Mus musculus: one gene and its partners. The main gene of each other region encodes a partner of the protein of the gene in region 3 in a complex. Links are inferred from orthologs where the notes say so. Each region holds a gene or a part of one and is shown on either strand. Other genes may lie near its edges. The genes, in order: Drc3, Efcab2 and Iqcd.

Region 1 (6,882 bases), on a different chromosome or scaffold from region 3:
TCCACAGGGCCAGAGCAACTCCCAAGACTGCTCTGCTATGAATCCTGACAATCTGTCTTTCTTCTAAGATTGCCGCCCTCTTTTCTCTGGTACCATCCATGTGAATGCAGCAGATATAAGTATTTATTTCTATTCCTTCACTATCCCAATCAAAGATTCAGATGCCAATAACTCTTGCCTGCTCTTCCCTTCCACTCCCTACCCCATGTTGTAGAGCCAGTTCCTCTGAATTAAAAAGTTCCTCCCAGGAGAGAGAGTGTGACTCATAGAAGGCAGGAAGCTCACAGAGTTACAACACTAGGATGCTGCTGAAGAGCTGATATAGAGCCACACATGGTGGTGCATGCCTTTAATCCGAGCATCTGTGAGGGAGGCAGAGGCAAGAGGATCTCTGTGAGTTTCAGGCCAGCCTACTCTACATAGTGAGTTCCAGGATAGCCAATTTGATTTGGTTCAATATAGAGAGACCCTGTATCGAACCAAACCAAATCAACCACACAAAGAAAAGTGAGTTTATATATGAGGAGTAAACAATTTCTGAGGAAGAAAAGACTTATCTTTGATAAGAGCAATCTGTAAGTTAGACTTAGAGCTCTAGGACCAAACTGGCATGATTTGTCACCCAATTTGGGGGTGCCTTTGAGCCACTCATCCTTCTGTAAGTCACTGCAATGAGCTCACTGGCTCACAGGTTATACTTGGATGGACTGGCTTCTTAGGCCTGTCATTGATATCTTATCTAGTGTGAAGGATGTTTGTATCTTCCATGGTCCCTGCTCTTTTTCCATCTGTGCCCTGATCCTTCAAAACCTCAACCTTGTTTTCCTACTCTCTCCTGTCTACTTTTCCTCTTCAGAGTAAATGACTGACTGACTGACTCTTCCTCCTCAGGGTGACTGACTGACTGACTCTTCCTCCTCAGGGTGACTGACTGACTGACTCTTCCTCCTCAGGGTGACTGACTGACTCTTCTTCCTCAGGGTGACTGCTGACTGACTGACTCTTCCTCCTCAGTGTGACTGACTGACTTTTCTTCCTCAGGATGACTGAATGCCTGACTCTTCCTCCTCAGGGTGGCTGGCTGATTGACTGACTCTTCCTCCTCAGGGTAACTGACTGATTCTTCTTCCTCAGTGTGACCGAATGACAGACTCAGTCTTCCCAAGCAGTTGTTGTGCGCATCAGCATCCTATTCTTCCTAAACAGTTTCCCTTAAAGTTCCTCATAATTTACCACTAACCTCAAAATTTTACCTCTGGGGAAATTTTTTAAAGTGGTTCATTTGTCAGATGTTATCTGAAAAGTACATGGAATTTTTTTTTTTTTTTTTTTTTGGGTGTTGTGCTTTGGGAAATGACTCAATTCTGGTGTCAAAACTTTGACCTCTGTTTCATCAAAGCCCATTAACTGTGACAGGTCAAACTAGCTTTCAGTCATGCTAGATAGCATTCAGTCCAGCTCAGCAGGTTCTGTGCAGTATAGGATTGGTGCAAGAACTATGCTAAATGTTTACACCCAGAGAGGACTTTGCCTCTGACTGTGTATCTTTTGAAAAGTAACGTCACCGGCTTAAGTCTTTTTCCTGTTAGGTAGATAACTCCCCACTCTACATCTGTCAATTTTTTTTGTTGTTGTTGTTTTGTTTTTTGTTTTTTGAGGCAGGGTTTCTCCATGTAGCCCTGGCTGTCCTGGAACTCACTCTGTAAGACCAGGCTGGTCTCGAACGCAGAAATCTACCTGCCTCTGCCTCCCAAGTGCTGGGATTAAAGATGTGCACCACCACTGCCTGGCTTTTTTTTTTTTTCTTTACTTTTCTTTCTTTCTTTTTTTTTTTTTTTTTTACATCTGTCTAAGAAAGGACCTGTATTTAGTCCACACATCCATATCAAATAACTACCACATGCTGTGAGCCTTGGACAGGTCCTTTGTTTCAGAGTTGAATTAAATTGTTATACCAGCATTTACTTACAAACATCTTAGTAGGTGTGGGGAATGGTGAAAACACCTAGTAGGGTCAGTTGGCTTGATCAGGGAAGATACAATATGAGGGATAAAAAGAAAAGAAAGCAAGAAGAGACGATAACCCAGTGAAGACCCCAAGCTGGAAAGCAGAAGTGATACAGGGTCTATATTGCATTTGTATTCCATAATGGCTGGCAAGCTCCTAGGGCTTGTAAGGTGAAGATGGATCGGATTTTAGTTTTTATTATAGCTGTTGTGGCAAGAATTACAAAAGGAGTGAGGCTAGCCAGGAGTGGTGGTGCAAGTCCTAGCGCTTGGGAGGCAGATACAAGCAGATCCCTGTGACTTTTTGAGGCCAGCCTGGTCTACATAGTATGAGGCCAGCTTGAGCTACACAGAGGGACCTGTGTCAAAACAAACAAACAAACAAACAAAAATGGAAAGGAAAGGAAGGGGAGGGGAGGGGAAAGTGAGTGACCAGAGTGGTTGTAATACAGAGGGGTGGGACATCACTAGGAACTTAGTTTATAGGAAGGTCTGAGACAAAATCTAGTTTGGAAGGTTATGCCTAAGCTAAAGTAATTGATTGACCCAATAATAGTGTTTGAAAGAGGAGTAGTGCTAAAATCAATTGCCCTCCAGAAGAATTTTGCTAGGAGAGTCAGAGGTTCGAGGCCACAGACAGCCATGAGGAGCCCTGAAGTGAGAGGGCACTAGGAGAGATTGCATCAGAATCTTGGCAGCCACATGGTGCCCAGAAGAGAAAGACAAATCTTCCAGTTCCATTAGCTCCCTCAGATCCAGAGAACAAAGGGACTTACGACTCACAGTTTTGGGGGGCGGGGGGGGGGACAACGACAGTGGTGGCTTTTAGTTCTATACCATGTGACCTGACCTGACCTAGTCTACATGACTCCTGGCACGGTGGCAGGCTTAGTTAAGAGAGTAAAGTTGCAATTCAGGTATGTCTTGGCCCAGGAATCAGGGGAAGCTGGGTTTGCTCACATCTGTAAGGAGTGAAAGAGAGAACTTTGTGAAAGCTACAAGGTCAGAGCGGCTCTCTATAACCAACCTTGTGAAAGGATACTGAAGAGGTGTGGCCTGACTTCTGAACCACACTTGAATTAAATAAATTATCCCAATATCTACTTACAAACATTGACAGGTTAGTGGGTGTATGGAACTATGAAAGCACACAGTAGGGATCTCTGTAAGAGAAATTTCTCGATTGACTAATATGAAGATTTACCAAGAGGCACGACCTCATGTCTAACACAGAATCCACTTTCTTAATCACAACTCTATTGTACCCAGCACACTAGGGACAGACATTGTCACATGTTCTCTGCCTACAGAACAAGGCCCAAAGAATCCTCCCCTATGGGGAGGATGTCAATAATTTATCCAAATGGGGGTCCCATTGACTTGCCTGATGATAGTGTCCTTGGTGAAGACCAGAGGTAGGATGTGGAGAAGCAGCAGAAAGCTTTACAAACAAATCAACCAGGTAGCCTCGTCACTGGTTTACCTGGGAAACAACAGCCTGGGTTAGCTGGACCTGAAACACTATGTAGACCCTATGAGTCCCACAGTAATGAGAATAAAAGCAACTGATGAGAATAAGTCCTTGTCGTACTCTCAGTGCACTCCACTTATTTAACTCCATGCCAGTTCTGGGAGCTATTTAAAAGGGACATCTTAGTGTCCCTACTTCCCAGATAGGGAAATTGAGGCTTGAGGTATGTGTGTATGTGGGGGGCCGGGGGGGGGGTCTGTGACCAAAGTCATAGAGTGAATTACTGACAGAGACTGAGATGGAACCTTGATATCTTTATTCTCATCGCAAACACTTCATACGGCACCAAATGAAATACCTTATTGCAGATCAAGAGGATGGATATAACAGCCAAACTCTAGAATGAGTTATCAGTGTATCGGGTACCTCTCTTTCAGTGAAACGAATCAGGCCAGGAAACTGGCTGATGGACCCTTTTCCTACTTGCTTTTGCTAGTTTAAGATTTTATACGCTCTTTTCTTTTTCAAAAGCCCGATTAAGTCTCAGTACAAGTGTAAAAATGACATGTGTGCTCATTTTACAGATGAGACGGGTCAGGTCGGAGTCCTCCAAGAAGAGTTACAAGACAGACCTCAATCATGCAACCTCTAATCTTCTGGAGCTAAACTCTTGATTCTTACCTTCCTAAGGACTGTCTCCCCTTGCAGTAGACGCTTCGTTTGGTTGCTGGGGAACCAAACACCGCCACTTGGTTGCTAAGGGGAAGTCAAGCGATAAATATCCTGGGTGAAAGTTGATTCGTCACGTGGCCATATTTCTAACACCAACCAGACTTGAAGAAAACAAACGTTTCTCCAATCAGCACAGTCAACGAGCTTCAACTTCTAGTTACGCTTTCTTTCTGCCCGCCTATGTAAACGATTGACACACCTTTTATCCAATAATAGTAAAGATTCTCTAGACTGACCAACGTGCTAATGAATCAAGAAGAACGGCCACTCGTTTGGAGGCGGGTCCGGGGGTTGTGCCGCTAGGCTGACGGAGACCCTAGTGACTTAGCTTGCTTCGTGCCCAATCGGACGCCGCGGGGTGGGTGGGACTTCACTGAGAGTGGAGTGTCGTCCAATCGGAAGTGGGCTGGTTAGACGCTGCCCAATAGAGATGCACCCAGAGGGCGAGGTCAGGCCGGGCGCTCAGCGTTCCGGAGGGTGGGGCGGGGGCAAGTGTCAGTCAGGGCAGAACGCGGCGCGGGCAGCGGAGACCCGTGGCACACAGGAGTCCGGGCTGGAACGAGGCCCGCCGAGATGGAGTTCCTGCTGGGGAATCCGTTCAGCACCCCTGTAGGGCAGTGTCTTGGTAAGGCCGCGCGTGGGGCAGGCGTCGAGTGAGCCACAGCGGCTGACCGGGCTGGTGAGATCCGCGGGCCTCCTCCCGGCACTGAAATCACCTCACGTGCGGGTTGGGCCTCTGCCAATAAGTGGTGTCATCTCAAAGGTGGACTGGGCATCCTTGTCACGAGGCCTCTGCCTGACGCTGGTGCCACCTCACCCTACAAGGAGGCTCCCCCGAGGTGCCGATTGGACTTAGAGAGGTCCCCGGCATCCCTGCCCATCAGGGCCCAGCCTTTCAAGTCTCTCCCCAGAAGTAGTGTCCATGCTAGTCTGCTTACCCTTGCGTATTGGGAGATGTCACTGCGAGTACTCTTCCCCAGGTATCTCGCTGCCTTTGCTCCCAGGGCCTCTGTCTCCCGGAGCCTTTGTGGAATGGAACTCTTTCTTCCGTCCTTGTCCCTGCTCATTGGTACCAATGGCTCTGAGGCTGGGCACTTTCCCAGAAAATGCCCCATGCTGCACGACTTCTAATTTGAGCTGCAACTCAGTCAGGCTGTAGGAGGGACTGGGATGGGGGAGGCCCTCGGGGAAAGTGACTGGCTTGGCAGGGGGATGGCGTGGCGGCAGAATCTCCTAGGCCTCCTAGGAAAGAAGGGAGGCAGGGCTGCTTTGTTGATAAGCAGTCCATTGGATCCCGGAAACTTGGACTCCAGTAGTGACTTTGCCAGGGACGCTCCTCCTGACCTTGTGCGCTTTATATTTTGACGTTCTCTTGTCTGCCACACGGGGTATTTGGAGATAAGATGTGGTGGGACTCTTCAAGTTCTAAAGTTCTGAATCTTCCTTGTTGATATTAAGCGTCTCCTTACATTGCCTCTTGCTCTCCCACTACATAAAGTGGTAGTAGAGTAATCAGAGCAGCTGTCAGTAGTGTAAGGAGTTAGAGGCGGGCCGCATGCTGCATAAGGAATGGCACTGGCCGCTGTGAAGTTTCCTTACAGAAGAAAACACTGGCAGACCAGGGAATAGTCCAGTGGTAGAGCATTAACTTAGCACACACAAAATCCTGGATTTGATCTAGGATCCAGCACTGCAAGTAATGAATAATAAAGCAATTTGGCCTTTCATCCAAGGTGGGAGCTTATGCCAACAGATCAGTCAAAAGTGCTGACTAGCTTTAAAAACAAACAAACTTGGGGCTGGAGAACTGGCTCACCGGTTAAAGACATTGGCTGTTAATCCAGATTCAGGCCCTGGCACTGCATAGTGGCTCACAACTGGCTGTAACTTCACATCCAGGGGATTGATTGCCCTCTTCTGGTGTCTTTTATATACATACCTAAACATACCATGTAAATGGTGCACAGACAGGCAAACAAAACGCCCACATATGTAACATTTTTGAAAATTAAAGTTGGGTCTGCCGGCTGGTTGAAATCATCTTTTATGAACTGGGCTCTGTACTATCCTTATGGGTCTTATAGTTCAAGCAGTAGAGACTTGCTTGTTTCTACTTTGTATATGAATTTATAGCCTACTTTTCTGTTGTTAAGCTTACAAACTTACGGAGGCTTTTTCTGTTGTTGATTGACATTTGGGAGCATTCTGTTCCTTTTGGGTTTTTTGTTTGTTTGGTTTTGGTTTTTGGCTTTTGGCTTTTTGTTTTTGTTTTTTGAGACAGGGTTTCTCGGTGTAGCCCTGGCTGTCCTGGAACTCACTTTGTAGACCAGGCTGGCCTCAAACTCAGAAATTCGCTTGCCTCTGCCTCTCACGTGCTGGGATTAAAGGTGTGTGCCACCACACCCTGCCATTCTGTTCTTTTTTGATAAAGTGTCTTTTATAAGTGATCATGGATTCTGGGACCTGAAAGTCTTTTCCCACTTCTATGACGCTTCTTTCTCTGATGTTCACTCAAGTATCTCTTTTTCTCTGTATGTATATGTGTGTGTATGTAAATACTGCAATTTTATGTGTTTACATATAAACACATATATGTGCATGTATATATATAAATATTTCAATTTTATGTGTTTGTTTTGCCTTCATGTATGTCTATACACCACTTGATTCCT
Region 2 (6,857 bases), on a different chromosome or scaffold from region 3:
TGCCGGTGTATCTGTGAAGTGTTCTCGAGTGGATAGAGCTACAACTGCTGACTCCTGAGAACCGAACTGCTGATTTCCTGACAACGCAGCTGAGATTTGCTCCAAAGAACAATTCTGTTTAGGTCCACTTCCCCGTATCCTAATAACCTTTCTTTCCCACTACCTCTGATGGGTGGTGGGCTAGAAGGGAGGTTAAAGTATTTAAGAATCCATATTAAAAGTAGATTTGAAAAAAAAATAAGCGTACATTAACCAAGTTGGAAAATTAAATACTTAAAATAGGCTCCAGTGAGGCTAGGTACTGTAAATATGGGTAAGTTGTGTCTCTTGTCTTCAAAGTTGGAGAGGGAGTAGTTTTTTTGTTTTTTTGTTTTTTTGAGATAGGGTTTTTCTGTGTAGCCTTGGCTGTCCTGGAACTCACTCTGTAGAGCAGGCTGGCCTTGAACTCAAAAATCTGCCTGCCTCTGCCTCTCAAGTGCTGGAATTAAAGGCATGCACCACCACTGCCTGGTCTTTCTTTCTTTTTTACTACCTGCCCTGCAGTATTTTTTTTTTTTTAATTTGGCTTTTTGTTATAGGGTCTTAGACTATTGCGCAGGCAGACCTTGAACTTTCAGAAATCTTCATCCCAGCCTCCCAATGCTGTGACTATAGGTGTGAATGCTAAACCTAGATCAACAGTGTATTAACTACCTAAGGTCCAAGCCTTTTGGTTGTAGTTTCTTTTTATTGGTGCTGGGGATTGGACCTAGGCTTTTATGAATGGTAAGCATGTACCTTTTACAGTTGAGTAAAATCTCCATCATCATGCTGACCTTGAACTCACTGCTGTATGAGGGTGACCTTGAACTCCTGATCCTCCTGCCTCCATCTCCCAACTTCCTCACCTGATTTGATGGTATTGTTTTAAATTTTCAAGAAGAACTCAAAGGAGTACAAACTAATATGATTTAGAATAACTAAAATGAAATACTTTATTAGTTTAGTAGAATGTACAAAATGTTAGGAGGGGAGTTACAGAGAAATTTGCTTAACTTTTAAATGTTAACTAGGTCTATGAACAAATGCTTATGTAAGGATTCCATTTTTTTACCATGTGCTGCCAATACTTTTATTGATACAAAAATATAAAGCAAGAGGAAAATCTGTCTTACAGTAAGTTCATTGAATCTGAGTGGCTTGGAAAAGTCATTGAGAACACTAGCTTGTTTTCATTTTTAAGACCTATATTATTTCAGATTAGATGTCAGTGTGTGCACCTGAAGTTCTAGAAACTCATGAAGGCTGAACAGAAGCATCACTTGAGCCCAGGAATTTAAGACCAGTCTGAGCACCTAAAGAGAATCCTTCCTCATACAAAACACTAAAGCAAAGACACAAACTACAAGCTACAGGTGCGTGCGCACACACGCACACACACACACACATCTCTCACACACAATTCCAGTCAGAATGTCCCAGTGTATAGAACAACGTTACTGGCTGGAAATGTATGTGGTAGAAACAAGTAAATAAAATAAAAGCACTATAAACATTTTGAAAACTTTGCCTATGGGACCATTGAAGAGGAGGTAAAGATAAGGGGCAGGCAATGCTCAGGGTCACCTTCCATCAGGAAGGGACAGTTCTCTTCCTTCCCATACTTGCTACAAAGTCCTTCATCTTCAGGGAGAGTAAGGGGAACACACAGAATGTAAATATTAATATAAAATAAATAAAATATTAATATAAAATAAATAAAATATTAATATAAATTACTCTTCCATATTTTGGGGTGATTAATTTACTGTATGCTTGAGTTCATCTTGGAAGTCTTTCTTTTCTTTCTTTTCCTTTCTTTCTTTCTCTTTCTTTTTGTTTTATTGTTTTGTTTTTGTTTTTGTTTTTGTTTTTTTGAGACAGGGTTTCTCTGTGTAGCCCTGGCTGTCCTGGAACTCACTCTGTAGACCAGGCTGGCCTCGAACTCAGAAATCTGCCTGCCTCTGCCTCCTGAGTGCTGGGGAAATTTGCTTGATATGCACCATTTTCTGATTATTCAAATTGTAGTTAGACACTTCATCAAATCTTTATTGCCTATAGAAAAAAATATTTTAATGAAGAGTACAGTTGGCCTGCTTTGAGGGTTCATTCACTGAGATTACAGAACTTCGATGAATAAAAACTAATAATAAAAAATAAAATACTGAGATGTAAAGTGAATAAATAACTATATTAAAGAAAAATCAAGACAAAACAAAGGCCTCTACATTTAGTTACTTTTACAAAAATATTTAAATAAGTACACATATACCATGAAATTATCATTAAAGATTAAAACTAGATATTAATTTGAGTCACATTGTTAGACATTTCAAAACTGTTGGGTTTTTTTTGTTTGTTTGTTTGTTTGTTTGTTTTGGGGGGGTTTCATTTAAGGGAGAATCTTAGTATTCTGAGCTTATCCATCAAATAACAAAACACGCGATAGCCAAGTTTCTCAGTACTCAAAATTCTCATCGGAAGGTCATGCCAAATTGCACCATCAACATACAAAATGTGTGTATCCCTGAGAACAGACCGTCAATTTATTTGTTGCTATGAGAACACTATTTTGTATCAGAAATTGCAGCCTTGGCGACGCAGTGTTTGCGCCTATTTTGCACATGTTTTTCTACAGCAAGTCCTCTCTCTCTCTCTCTCTCTCTCTCTCTCTCTCTCTCTCTCTCTCTCTCTCTGCGATCCCGGGGAAAGGCTGGGCTTCCTCCTGCACTGGCCCATGTCCGTTTTCGCTCCAGTTCCGTGACTGGCAGAGTGGCTCCGCTCAGGAGAGGGTGACGCCAGAGAGCCACAAGGCCTGGCTCGGGTGGGGTTGGGGTGGGCGGACGCTTTTCGGGGAGGGACCGTGTAAGGGGCCGCCAGGTCTGCGCCCGGTTCTGGGGCGCACCTGAGACGGCCGGGAAAAAAAAAAGCTGAATAAAATAAGTAATTAAAGAAATGAATAAAGAAATAAGCAAGGCACACTACGTCCTTGACAGTCACAATCAGGCCCAGGCGGGTTCCGGAGCCTTGTTAATAAATGACGCCCCTAGGCCCAAAGAACGCGGGCCTCGGTTCTGGTGGGGGCGGGGATCGGGGGGCCACCGTGCATCCAGGGGCTTTCTCCGCCCGCGGGGTCCCGCAGGGTTCGTGCTGGATGTCTCCCGGGCGACCGGCTCCGCACCAAGATGGCGGAGGAAAGGGACGCGGAAGGGACAGGTAGGACCCTGCCTGGGGTGCCACGACGTCGCCTCTGCGCCTGAGGAAGCGCCCCCCGGCCAACATCTTGAGCCCCTCGGCGTGGCGACAGTGGGCTGAAAAGCGGCGCCAGCCCGCGTCCCCACCGTCCGCCCTCCCGTCCCCTCGAGAGGTCTGCGCGGGCTGTTGTAGCCCCCGCCGGGGAGGTTCATAATGGCGTCCTTGTCCCTGGCACCTCCCCTCCCCGTGAGGGCGCCAGCCGCGGTCTGGGTGGGCTGTGGGTAACCCGGAGGGCGGCCTCATGGAGGACTGGAGCTGCGACTAGAACCTGGCGGGATCCTCTGCGGCTGTGCCGAAACCCCGCCCAGCCCGGCCCAACCCGGCCCCAGCCGCCTCCATTTTGCCTCCTCCTCCGCCAGGCGGAGCGCAGCCTCCAGGTCAGACTGGGCCCTAGCGGCCCGGGTCGCGCTAGAGCCTTGCATAAGGAACACGCACTTTAATCACTTTAAAGAAAACCCAGCCGGGACTTGTCGGGCCGCCCAGACCGGCCGGGTACCCGAGAGGCCTCAGGGGACCCGAAAAACTAATGTTTCATGTTGAACTGCAAGACCTTTTGAATTGTTGCTAACCCAGCCGAATGACTTAAAATCGGATCTGTGACTCAACAGCCATTACGTGATAAATTGACAACATCACCGCTAAATAAATAGTCAAGCAAGCCCTAAAATAGTAAATGGCAAACATTGCAAAAAAAGTGAAAGTAACACTCCATCTTTGCTGACTCTCTCCCCTCCCTCTTGTATTCCCCCACCCCCACCCCCACCCTCTGGTTTGGAACACAGTAGTTAGGTTAACAACTAATATTTACACGAGTTGTTTAGTCCATTGTCATGGTGATTACAGGAACCCAGCAGGGAAACTTGAGACCCTAGATTTTTTTTTTTTTTTTTTTTTTGGTTTTGGCTGTCCTGGAACTCACTTTGTAGACCTGGCTGGCCTCGAACTCAGAAATCCGCCTGCTTCTGCCTCCGGAGTGCTGGGATTAAAGGCGTGCGCCACCACTCCTGGCAGCTAGAGATCTTATTGATGACCTGTGATTTATAGATGGTAAAATTAATCTCAGAAGTCGGCATTGTAGTATAGAGTTTTAACTCTACTAAGGTATCAAGATTTTTGTGGTGCTATTTTAGAAATGGAAGGTTTTATTCTACTTTTTTGTTGTTGTTTTTACAAAGAATATGAAGTTAGAGGGCAGGGAGTGTCGGTGAGGTGTTGGGGGAAGGGAAAGAATATGATCAAAATATGTTGTATAAAAAATGTTTTAGGTGAGTCGGGGGTGGTGGTGCACACCTTTAATCCCAGCACTTGGGAGGCAGAGGCAGGCAGATTTCTGAGTTCGAGGCCAGCCTGGTCCTACAAAGTAAGTTCCAGGACAACAAGGGCTACACAGAGAAACCCTGTCTCAAAAAAAAAAAAAAAAAAAAGTTTTAGGTAAAAAAAAAAAAAAAGCTTCCCCAGAAAGTATTTTTTTTTTTTTAGTTATACTTTTATTACCCCCCTCAAAAAAAGTAAAGGAGAAAATCATTAGGGGATGAATTATTTTTTAAATTAATTTACCTTATGTGTATTGGTGTATTGCCTTTGTGTATGTCCTTGTGAGGGTGTCGGATCCCCCAGAACTGGAGTTGCAGATGGTTGTGAGCTGCCATGTGTGTTCTGGGAATTGATCCAGGATTCTCTGGAAGAGCAGGTAGTGCTTCTAACCTCTGAGCCATCTGTTTTTTTGTTTTTTGGGTTTTTTTTTTGTTTTGTTTTGTTTTTTAAACAAAATCTAAATCATTTGGTTTTACCAATGAAAACCCGGGAGCCAGAATCTGTGGTGAAAGTTTGCTAGCTCAGAGAAGCAGAGAAAGCACCCAGCTGACCCTGCTCCTCAGCCAGTGTCCCAGACATTGTTTTTTTTTTTTTTTTTTTTTTTTTAAATAATCCTATGTTTACTCTCTGTCAATTGGTTGCTTGTTCCACCTCTTAACTTATGGTTGACTTTATTTAATTTTGTTTATAATATTCAAGCAGAGAACTCTTGGATAAATGCATATGCTAAAGCTGAAACACACCACAACTAGAGACACAATAGGTGTTATTAACACAGTGGGAACAAATATCCATCTCTCCAGACCCCTCCTTTTCTTTTTAAGTTAAAGACTTATTTAGGGTAGCATTGGAGTATACTGCAAGTTTTTACAATGTAAAATTATACACACACACACACACACACACACACACAACACTTAGGATCTCACCTTGTAGCTTTGATTGGTCTGGAACTCCCAGAGATGCACCTGTCTGCATCTGAGTGAGTGCTGTGACTAAAACTGTGTGCCACCACACCCAGCCTGATTTTTACAGTTGTTATCCCTGCTTGAGAGAGACAGAGACAGACAGAATTTCTGTTTCTTTAGTTTCCAAAACATATTTTAATGTTTAGTGTAAGTTTAGGAGAAAAAACAGTTCAGTCTGCAACTAACTGTGGAAGTAATGGCTGTTGAAAGCTGGATTTCATATATTCAATTTCTTATATATTTAATGCTTGCTTCATGGAAAGTAGTCTGGTGAATGTTAAACCTGAAAATTGTGATGAGGAAGATGGAATCCATGGTTGTCCAACTGAAGTAAGCTTTATTAAATACTGGCCAGGAAGATGGACACTGGCCATGTCCCTATGTGGGATTCTTACAGAAATGGTGATGAATTCCATCCTTCAGGTGCCTGTTAGGCCAGGCTCATGAAACTCCTTACTTTCCACCTTGGTTCACTGGGGCAAGCATACATCCTGACTTCCTTCCTGCCTGTGCGTCTCCTGCCTGGATGTGACCAAGCACATCCTGTGCAGTTGGGACAACAAACTTTGTTTATTGAAGGGGAACAGGGATTCATTATCTGACAAAAACAACAGCCCTCTGCATTCCTGGGAGTTATCTGTCCTTGGGCGAGTGGGGTTTAAAGCTTAACTTTAGCCCTTACATCAGGGCAGAACTTTAGTGAATAGCGAGATGAAGAAGGCATTGTCTTTGTCCTCCCCAAAGGGGAGGTTATCAGTAAGGGAGATAAGAGAGGAAGAAATGGAAAACAAGAAGCCAAGAGGAGCAATAGGGAGCCAGGGCCAAGATAAGATCCTCAAGGCACACTGTCCAGCGTCCTGCTTCCTCTAGGAGAGCTTACTTTTCAAGGTTCTGTTCAAATTTGAATCTATCAGTGGATTGAAACGGATTAGGTTGGTGCCCTCAAGATCCGGTTGTCTCTGGAAAAGCCCCTGAAATACATCCAGAGGTATCCAGTCAAGTGGATAATATGGATTAAGAATGGCCTGGGGCCTGGCGGTGAAACAGGATTTTAATCCGAGCCATCAGGAGGCAGAGGCAGGCGGATCTCTGAGTTCCAGGAGAGCCTAGCCTACAAAGGACTACAGGGAGAAACCCTGTCTAAAAAACCCAAAACTTAGAAAAGAAAAGAAAGGAAAAGAAAAGGAAAAAAGAATGATTTGGGATTTTCATGTATTTAAAAAATACTTTCTGTGTGGTTATATATGTTGATGTTATGTTTCCCTGTAGCTTATTTTGTGTTTGAACAGCATAATTTTCTTT
Region 3 (6,125 bases):
GTCGTGATGGGTGCATGTGATCACAGCCCTTGGCAAAGGAGTGGGGGGATGGGGTAGAGGACTGCTGTGAGTTGGAGACTTCTTTGGAGTGCATTGACTGTCTTTTCATTGGTGTGTGTGTGTGTGTGTGTGTGTGCATGCACAAAAACAATAGTGGAATGTGGGCAGGGGGAAGAGGACAACTTGCAGGAATGGGTTCTCTCCTATCCTATGGGTCCTGGGGATTGAACTCAGGGTATCAGGCTTGACTGCAAAGGGCCTTTCCCTCGCCGAGCCGTCCTCCCAGCTCTGCGTCGTCGTCTTTAACAAAACCAAAGGAGCCTCTAGATTCCCCAGAGCTGTTCTCAGTGTGGGCCCTGAAGGCAGGCTGGCTTCAGCACTCCCACCCCCCACACCCCCGTGACCCTCTGGGACTGTCCACCAATCTAGTGCAGACCTCGGCCTTTTGTCTGGAGACACACAACTTCCATGAGATTCTCAGAGAGTCAGGACACTGGAAAAGACTGGGGACTGGTCTGTAAGAAGGTGTCCTCGGAAAGAGACTTGAGAGGTGGTTGGAGCACGGTTGAGACAGGGAACAAACAAAGCAGCCATGCTTGGCACATGCTCACAGCACGCGCTGTGCCCACACTTCCAGCTATGCTTCCTCAGAGCTCATGAGAACCAGACACGGAAGGGTCCTGTTCAGTTTGCCTGAGGGTCACGAGCTACTTCAAGAAGGGGCCATCATCCTTTCGGGCTCAGGGGAGCCCAGGGACTTTGGGGAGGTCACTGAGCTTTAGTGCCCTAATTCTGGGATGGGGATTTGACCTCCTTGACCCAACTCTTGGTTTGGCTGCTTCCCCTTCCCACCTCCCAGGAGATCCCACCTATCTTGGGCTTTCGCACCCCTGGGCCAGCCCTGCTGCCCCCCACCCCCACCCCCACCCCCACTGTACCCCTGAGACCTCAGGGCACCTTCCTTAGTGCCTGCTCTGCCTCCCGGTTCTCCATGACCAGGTTGTGGTACTGTGCCCGAAGCGCCAGGATATCTTGCTGCGTCTTGGCCAGCCTGACCTGGGAGGCCCGGAAATCCACCTTCTGCTGCTTCTCGGCCTCCTGCTTCGTGCGGAGGAGGCTGTTCTCCGAAAACTTGAACACCTGGTGCAGATGGTTCTTCAGCTCCTGGATCACAAAGTTCTCCTTCTCCACCTAGGCCAGGACGAATGAGGACAGGGCCCTATTTAATAGCCACGCAGTCCTCCCACTCCCAGTCACAGGACAGCTGGCCTTTGGTTGTGCCCCTCCCCTAGGGGCTTATGCGTCTCTCCGGCCTGGGACCACATGCTCCCCTCCCCTAGGAAAGGGGTTGGCCAAGGCCTACAGGGCAAATCCAGCCAGCCATAGCTGTCAATAAAGTATTATTGGGACACAGCCCTTCAGTCCTGATACTCTCCATGGCTGCTTCCACACTAACAACAGAGACATGTTGAGACCGTTAGCTCACTGAGCCCAGTGTGTGGGATGTGTGACCCTTTGGAGATGGGATATGGAGCCAGAAAGAAAGCTGGCAAGTGTGTGCAGGAAGACAGTAGCCATGGACGACCCACAGCTGCCAAGATGCAACAGATCTGAGACTCATTCTAATACGCTCTCTAGGAAAATCTGGGTGGGGGTGGGGCTGGTTGGAATGCAGGTACAGGTGCACTTTAAGCTGCCTGCGGAAGCTTTGGATGTCACAGCTCTGTGTTCACAGCTATAGAGTGGCCTGCATGTGTGCATGTGTGTGCTTGTGTGTACAGCCTTTGTGTGTACAGCCTCAACTGTCATACACCTCTCTCTTTGGCCTGGAGCTTGTTGGCTATGCTAGGCTGGTGGGCCACTGACTCCTGTCCCTGCCTGCCCAGTCTCAGGGAACAGAGTGGCTCTGGAGCCCACACTCAAATCCCCTGGCTCGCACAGAAGGCTTTGTCTTCACGGAGCCATGCCTGGCCCCATGCAAGTGAATGCAGGTGCCTGTGGTGTCCAGCAGAGGGCGTGAGATTCCCCGGGAGAGCTGGAGTAAACAGTGTTTGCAAGCAGCTGGCCAGAGGGCCTGGGAACTGACCTCTGTTGCTCTGTAAGAGCAATGTGTACTGGGAGTGGTGGCGCATGCCTTTAATCCCAACACTTGGGAGGCACAGGCAGGTGGGATTCTATGGCGTTCCAGGCCAGTCAAGGCTGTAGAGTGAGACCCTGACTCCAACAGACAAAAGCCTGCACTTTTAACCTCTGAGCCATCTCTCCAACTCCTCCCCCACATGTCTGGTGTCTATCTTACCCGAGACAAAGGACCCACTTAGCCAGTGACACAGACACTTTGCCAACCCCTGGCTGGGAAGGTCTGCCTTGCTTGTCTGGCTCAATCCCGCTTTCTGTGTCCTCCCTGTCTTAGTGGCGCTGTCCCTAGTCCTTCTGGCCAGGATTTAGTTCTCTTACATCATCCCTTGATAGCGCCCTGCCCTTGTCCTTCCTTGAGCTCCGGAGGTTGGGCTTTTCCTACAGACAGACCTCCTAGGAAAATGCTCAGAACAATTTCTGAGGATTAAATGAAGGGAGAGAGCTATTGAAACCCATGAGAGAAGAGGCAAATCCCAGAGGGTTGGCCTGTTTGGGTGAGGTTTCTCCCCTAATTTGGGGGATGCCTTAGGGAGGTGTACCTCTGACTCCTTGTTCTTCAGCACGTTGGCCAGCTCAGCCTGGAGGTCATCGATGACCTCCTGGTTCCTCTCGCTCCTCCGGCTGATGTCCTGTATGAATTGGTTCTTCTCCCTGACTTCCATGGGGCTGGTGAGGAGCTTCTCAAAGAGGAAACCTCGAAGCTCCACCAGACCGTCGAGGAGGCACTGGGCCCCCGGGCTTCTGCCTGGCGCCTGTACCTGTAACAGCCTGGTGAACTGAGGCTCGCCCAGCACGAGCCTCAGGACAGTCTTGGTGGAGTCTCGGAACTGGTGCGCCAGCGTCAGCAGGTTCACCTTGTGCAGCTCTAGGGACAGTAGGCGTTCCTGGTTCCTAGTTTCCTCGGCTTCTTCCTCTTCCTCCAGCTTCTTGTGTCTCCTCTGCAGGATGCTGGCCCTCTCCACCAGGGTCTGGCCAATGTCCAAGTGCTCTCTTAGGGCTCTCACGAAATCCTCGGGCAGCGTGTCCTCCAGAGCCTCTGGGTGGGACTCCATGTAGGACATCAGGGTTATCAGCTCTATCTTGTGTATGGCCTCATCCAGGACTGACATGATCCTCTTGGCCTCGATGGTGTTGAGCTTGGATTTGGATGGGACTAAGGTCTTCATCGGCTCTGCTGGGACTAGACCTGTTCTCAGTGGGATTCTTTGGATGGCCAGTCCGTGGTAGGAAGGGGGTATGCTGACCTGGTCCAAGGCCATTTCTGGAGAGGCTGCCTTTGCCTCGGTATAATCTGGTACTGAGGCAGCCGCCAACTCAAGGCTCTCCTGGATTTCACAGCCTCCAGTAACCCTGCAGAGGAAGGGGTGACTGTGAGGTACATCGCCATTGGCCATGATGACCACTGTACAGAACCTCAAAGCTACTTTTAGCTTTTTTGTCTTCAAGGTTTGGTTTGGAGATATGGTCCATTATAGCCTAGGCTGTCCCTTCCTCCCGATCTGAGGGCTACGGTTATAGGCGTGTACCACCCTGGCAAGCTTATCTTTTGGCTTCGTGATGGTGCTTGAGCCAGCGGGGGTGGGGGTAGGAGGCCTGAGGGTGGAGGGCAGCTGCAGGCACATCTATCAGGCAAAAAGCAGCCTCTGTTCTGGGGACCAACCTCCAAGGGTTACCCAAGAGGCAGAAACAGAGAGAGGACAGCTTCAGGCAACTGAGGTCACCCAGCAGCTCCAGCAGCAGGAAGCCACATGTGTTGGGCTCACCAGGGGCAGTAGACCCCAGAGGAGTTGCAGCTGTGACTGCAAGCACTGTCTGATCAGAGAGTGGAAATGTCCTAGCCCCAACTTGCATTCCCCCCCCCCACGTTGATGCTAAACCAGCAGGAAACCAACTCAAGAGCCTGGGCCACTGGTGTACCACATCATCAGGCCAGGATGCGGAGGAGTCTGGGGCAAGGAGCAGGACATGCCGAACATTAGGACGGGACAGGGACAGAGCAGGATGGGCCACAGAATAGGAGCAGACACTGACACAGGAGGACAGGTCACACAGAGTAGGACAGGATAGGACAGGACATGGACAGAGCTGAACAGGGGCAAGGCCAAGCAGGGTGGATGACTGTGTACCAGCACACACCGGGAGCATCTGTGATCAGGTATGCATAGTGTGTGCATGTGTGTACATGTGCATGTGTGCACTTCTACATATTATATGTCCCCATGCAGGCCAGATATCACTATCAGGTGTCTTTCTTCATCTGTCTCCTTACTTTTTGAGACAGGGTCTCTGGCTAAACTGGAACCTCACCAGCTTGGGCAGGCTGGCCGCCAGCAAGCCAGTGGGTTCACCTCCCCAAGGCTGAGATTACAAACTCTTGCCTACGTCCTTGGCTTTTCGTGTGAGCTCTGGGGATGGAACCCAGCTCACCATGCCTGTGTGGCAGGTACTTTCCCAAGACAGCCACCACTCCTGATCCTGGCCGGGTGAGTTTTTTGGGGGTATTGATTTGAAAACTGGGGCAGAGTTGTAACAATAACTTCAAAATACAGAGTACAGAAAGTTTCAGGAGATGTGGTATCTGCTAAGACCAGCACCCACGAGGCGCAGGCAGGGTGATGGCTGAGAGTTCAAGGCCTGCCTAAGTATATTTTCAAAACTCCAAAAGTAAGTAAGTAAGTAAGTAAGTAAGTAAGTAAGTAAATGAATAAAGTTAAGCCAGGCAGTGGTGGTGCATGCCTTTGATCACAACACTTGGGAGGCACAGACAGGTGGATCTCTTGAATTCCAGACCAGCCTGCTCTACAGAGTGAGTTCTAGGACAGCCAGCGCTACATCGAGAAACCCTGTCTCAAAACAAACAAAATAATTACTCACCAGGTGCTGTGGGGCTGGCCGGTAATGCCAACACATGGAAGAAAAGACAAGAAAGAAAAGGGAGGGAGGGAGGAGGCTAGTCCATTTTCCTGAAAATCAAATCAAGTCCTGAACTAGAGGTTCTCAGCACGTGGGTCAAGACCCACCCCCCACGAATGGGTCACATATCAGATATCTTGCATATCAAGATAGTTACATTGCAGTTATGAGGTAGCAGTGAAATAATTTTATGGCTGGTGATCTGATCAGTAGCACATGAGAAACTGTGTTAAAGGGTCAGGGCTCTGTTCTGAAACAGAAAGGGCATCAGGGTAACATCTGGGATGTCACTAAATCCAAGGTTTGGTTAACAGAACTGTATGGATAGTGACTTACATATTTGTTTCTGTTTGAGACAGAGTCTCATGTAGCCCAGGCTGGCCCAGGACTTGTTGTGTAGCAACTCCTGCCTCCATCCCCAAAGCCTGAGGATTGCAGGCATGTGTGGTCATTGGTTACCCCGGGCTGGCAATGTTACTTTCTTAGTTCTGACCTATAAAGTAACATCAGGGGGAGCTTTCAGAAGAATTCGGAGGATATATATTATCCACAATTGTTACGAAGTAAAAGGTTTGTCTTGAACTCAATGGAGACATCAGAAATTTTTGCCAAATTCTTTGGCAAGCTGGGCATAGGGTCACACACCTTTAATCCTGGCACTCAAGAGGCAGAGGCAGGTGGATCTCTGAGTTCGAGGCCACCTTGGTCTGCAGAGTGAGTTCCAGGACAGCCAAGGCTACACAAAGAAACCCTAACTTTAAAGAAAAGACTTAAAACTTTGGTTGCACAGTGGCTGGATTGCAGTCCTTGCTGGGAGACCTAAGTCTGGTTAGGGGGGCCTGGGTTCTCTTTACTGTAAGGCAAGACTCCTTAGGTTCGAGCACAAGGCTCAGACATGATATGTCTTCAACAGACAGCTAATATTACATTATAGGTCCAGGGAAGCTGAAGTGTGAGCCTGGGACGTCATGGTGTCCTGTACGAATGCCATCCACAGCCGAGTACCTTCCTCTGTGCTCAGCCTGCCCCCTCTGCATGCCCCTTGCCTTGCTAACTGGCTCTGGCATCCCCAC

Evidence for each region.
Region 1: Iqcd (region 3) and Drc3 share a complex: the UniProt entries of both Homo sapiens proteins name them as parts of the nexin-dynein regulatory complex. The link is inferred for Mus musculus from reciprocal best matches to the Homo sapiens genes DRC10 and DRC3.
Region 2: Iqcd (region 3) and Efcab2 share a complex: the UniProt entries of both Homo sapiens proteins name them as parts of the nexin-dynein regulatory complex. The link is inferred for Mus musculus from reciprocal best matches to the Homo sapiens genes DRC10 and DRC8.

What each region holds. Positions count from the first base shown.
Region 1 is NC_000077.6:60,350,710-60,357,591, reverse strand, and holds the start of Drc3 (dynein regulatory complex subunit 3), read right to left. Parts: upstream 4,213-6,882; 5' UTR 4,160-4,212; intron 3,491-4,159; 5' UTR 3,392-3,490; intron 1-3,391. Other genes in the region: Tom1l2 (TOM1-like protein 2), read left to right, coding at 4,784-4,835. UniProt on the Homo sapiens protein: Component of the nexin-dynein regulatory complex (N-DRC) a key regulator of ciliary/flagellar motility which maintains the alignment and integrity of the distal axoneme and regulates microtubule sliding in motile axonemes.
Region 2 is NC_000067.6:178,402,900-178,409,756, forward strand, and holds the start of Efcab2 (dynein regulatory complex protein 8), read left to right. Parts: upstream 1-3,118; 5' UTR 3,119-3,203; coding exon 3,204-3,234; intron 3,235-6,857. UniProt on the Homo sapiens protein: Component of the nexin-dynein regulatory complex (N-DRC), a key regulator of ciliary/flagellar motility which maintains the alignment and integrity of the distal axoneme and regulates microtubule sliding in motile axonemes.
Region 3 is NC_000071.6:120,597,392-120,603,516, reverse strand, and holds part of Iqcd (dynein regulatory complex protein 10), read right to left. Parts: intron 3,490-6,125; 5' UTR 3,399-3,489; coding exon 2,679-3,398; intron 1,192-2,678; coding exon 958-1,191; intron 1-957. UniProt on the Homo sapiens protein: Component of the nexin-dynein regulatory complex (N-DRC), a key regulator of ciliary/flagellar motility which maintains the alignment and integrity of the distal axoneme and regulates microtubule sliding in motile axonemes.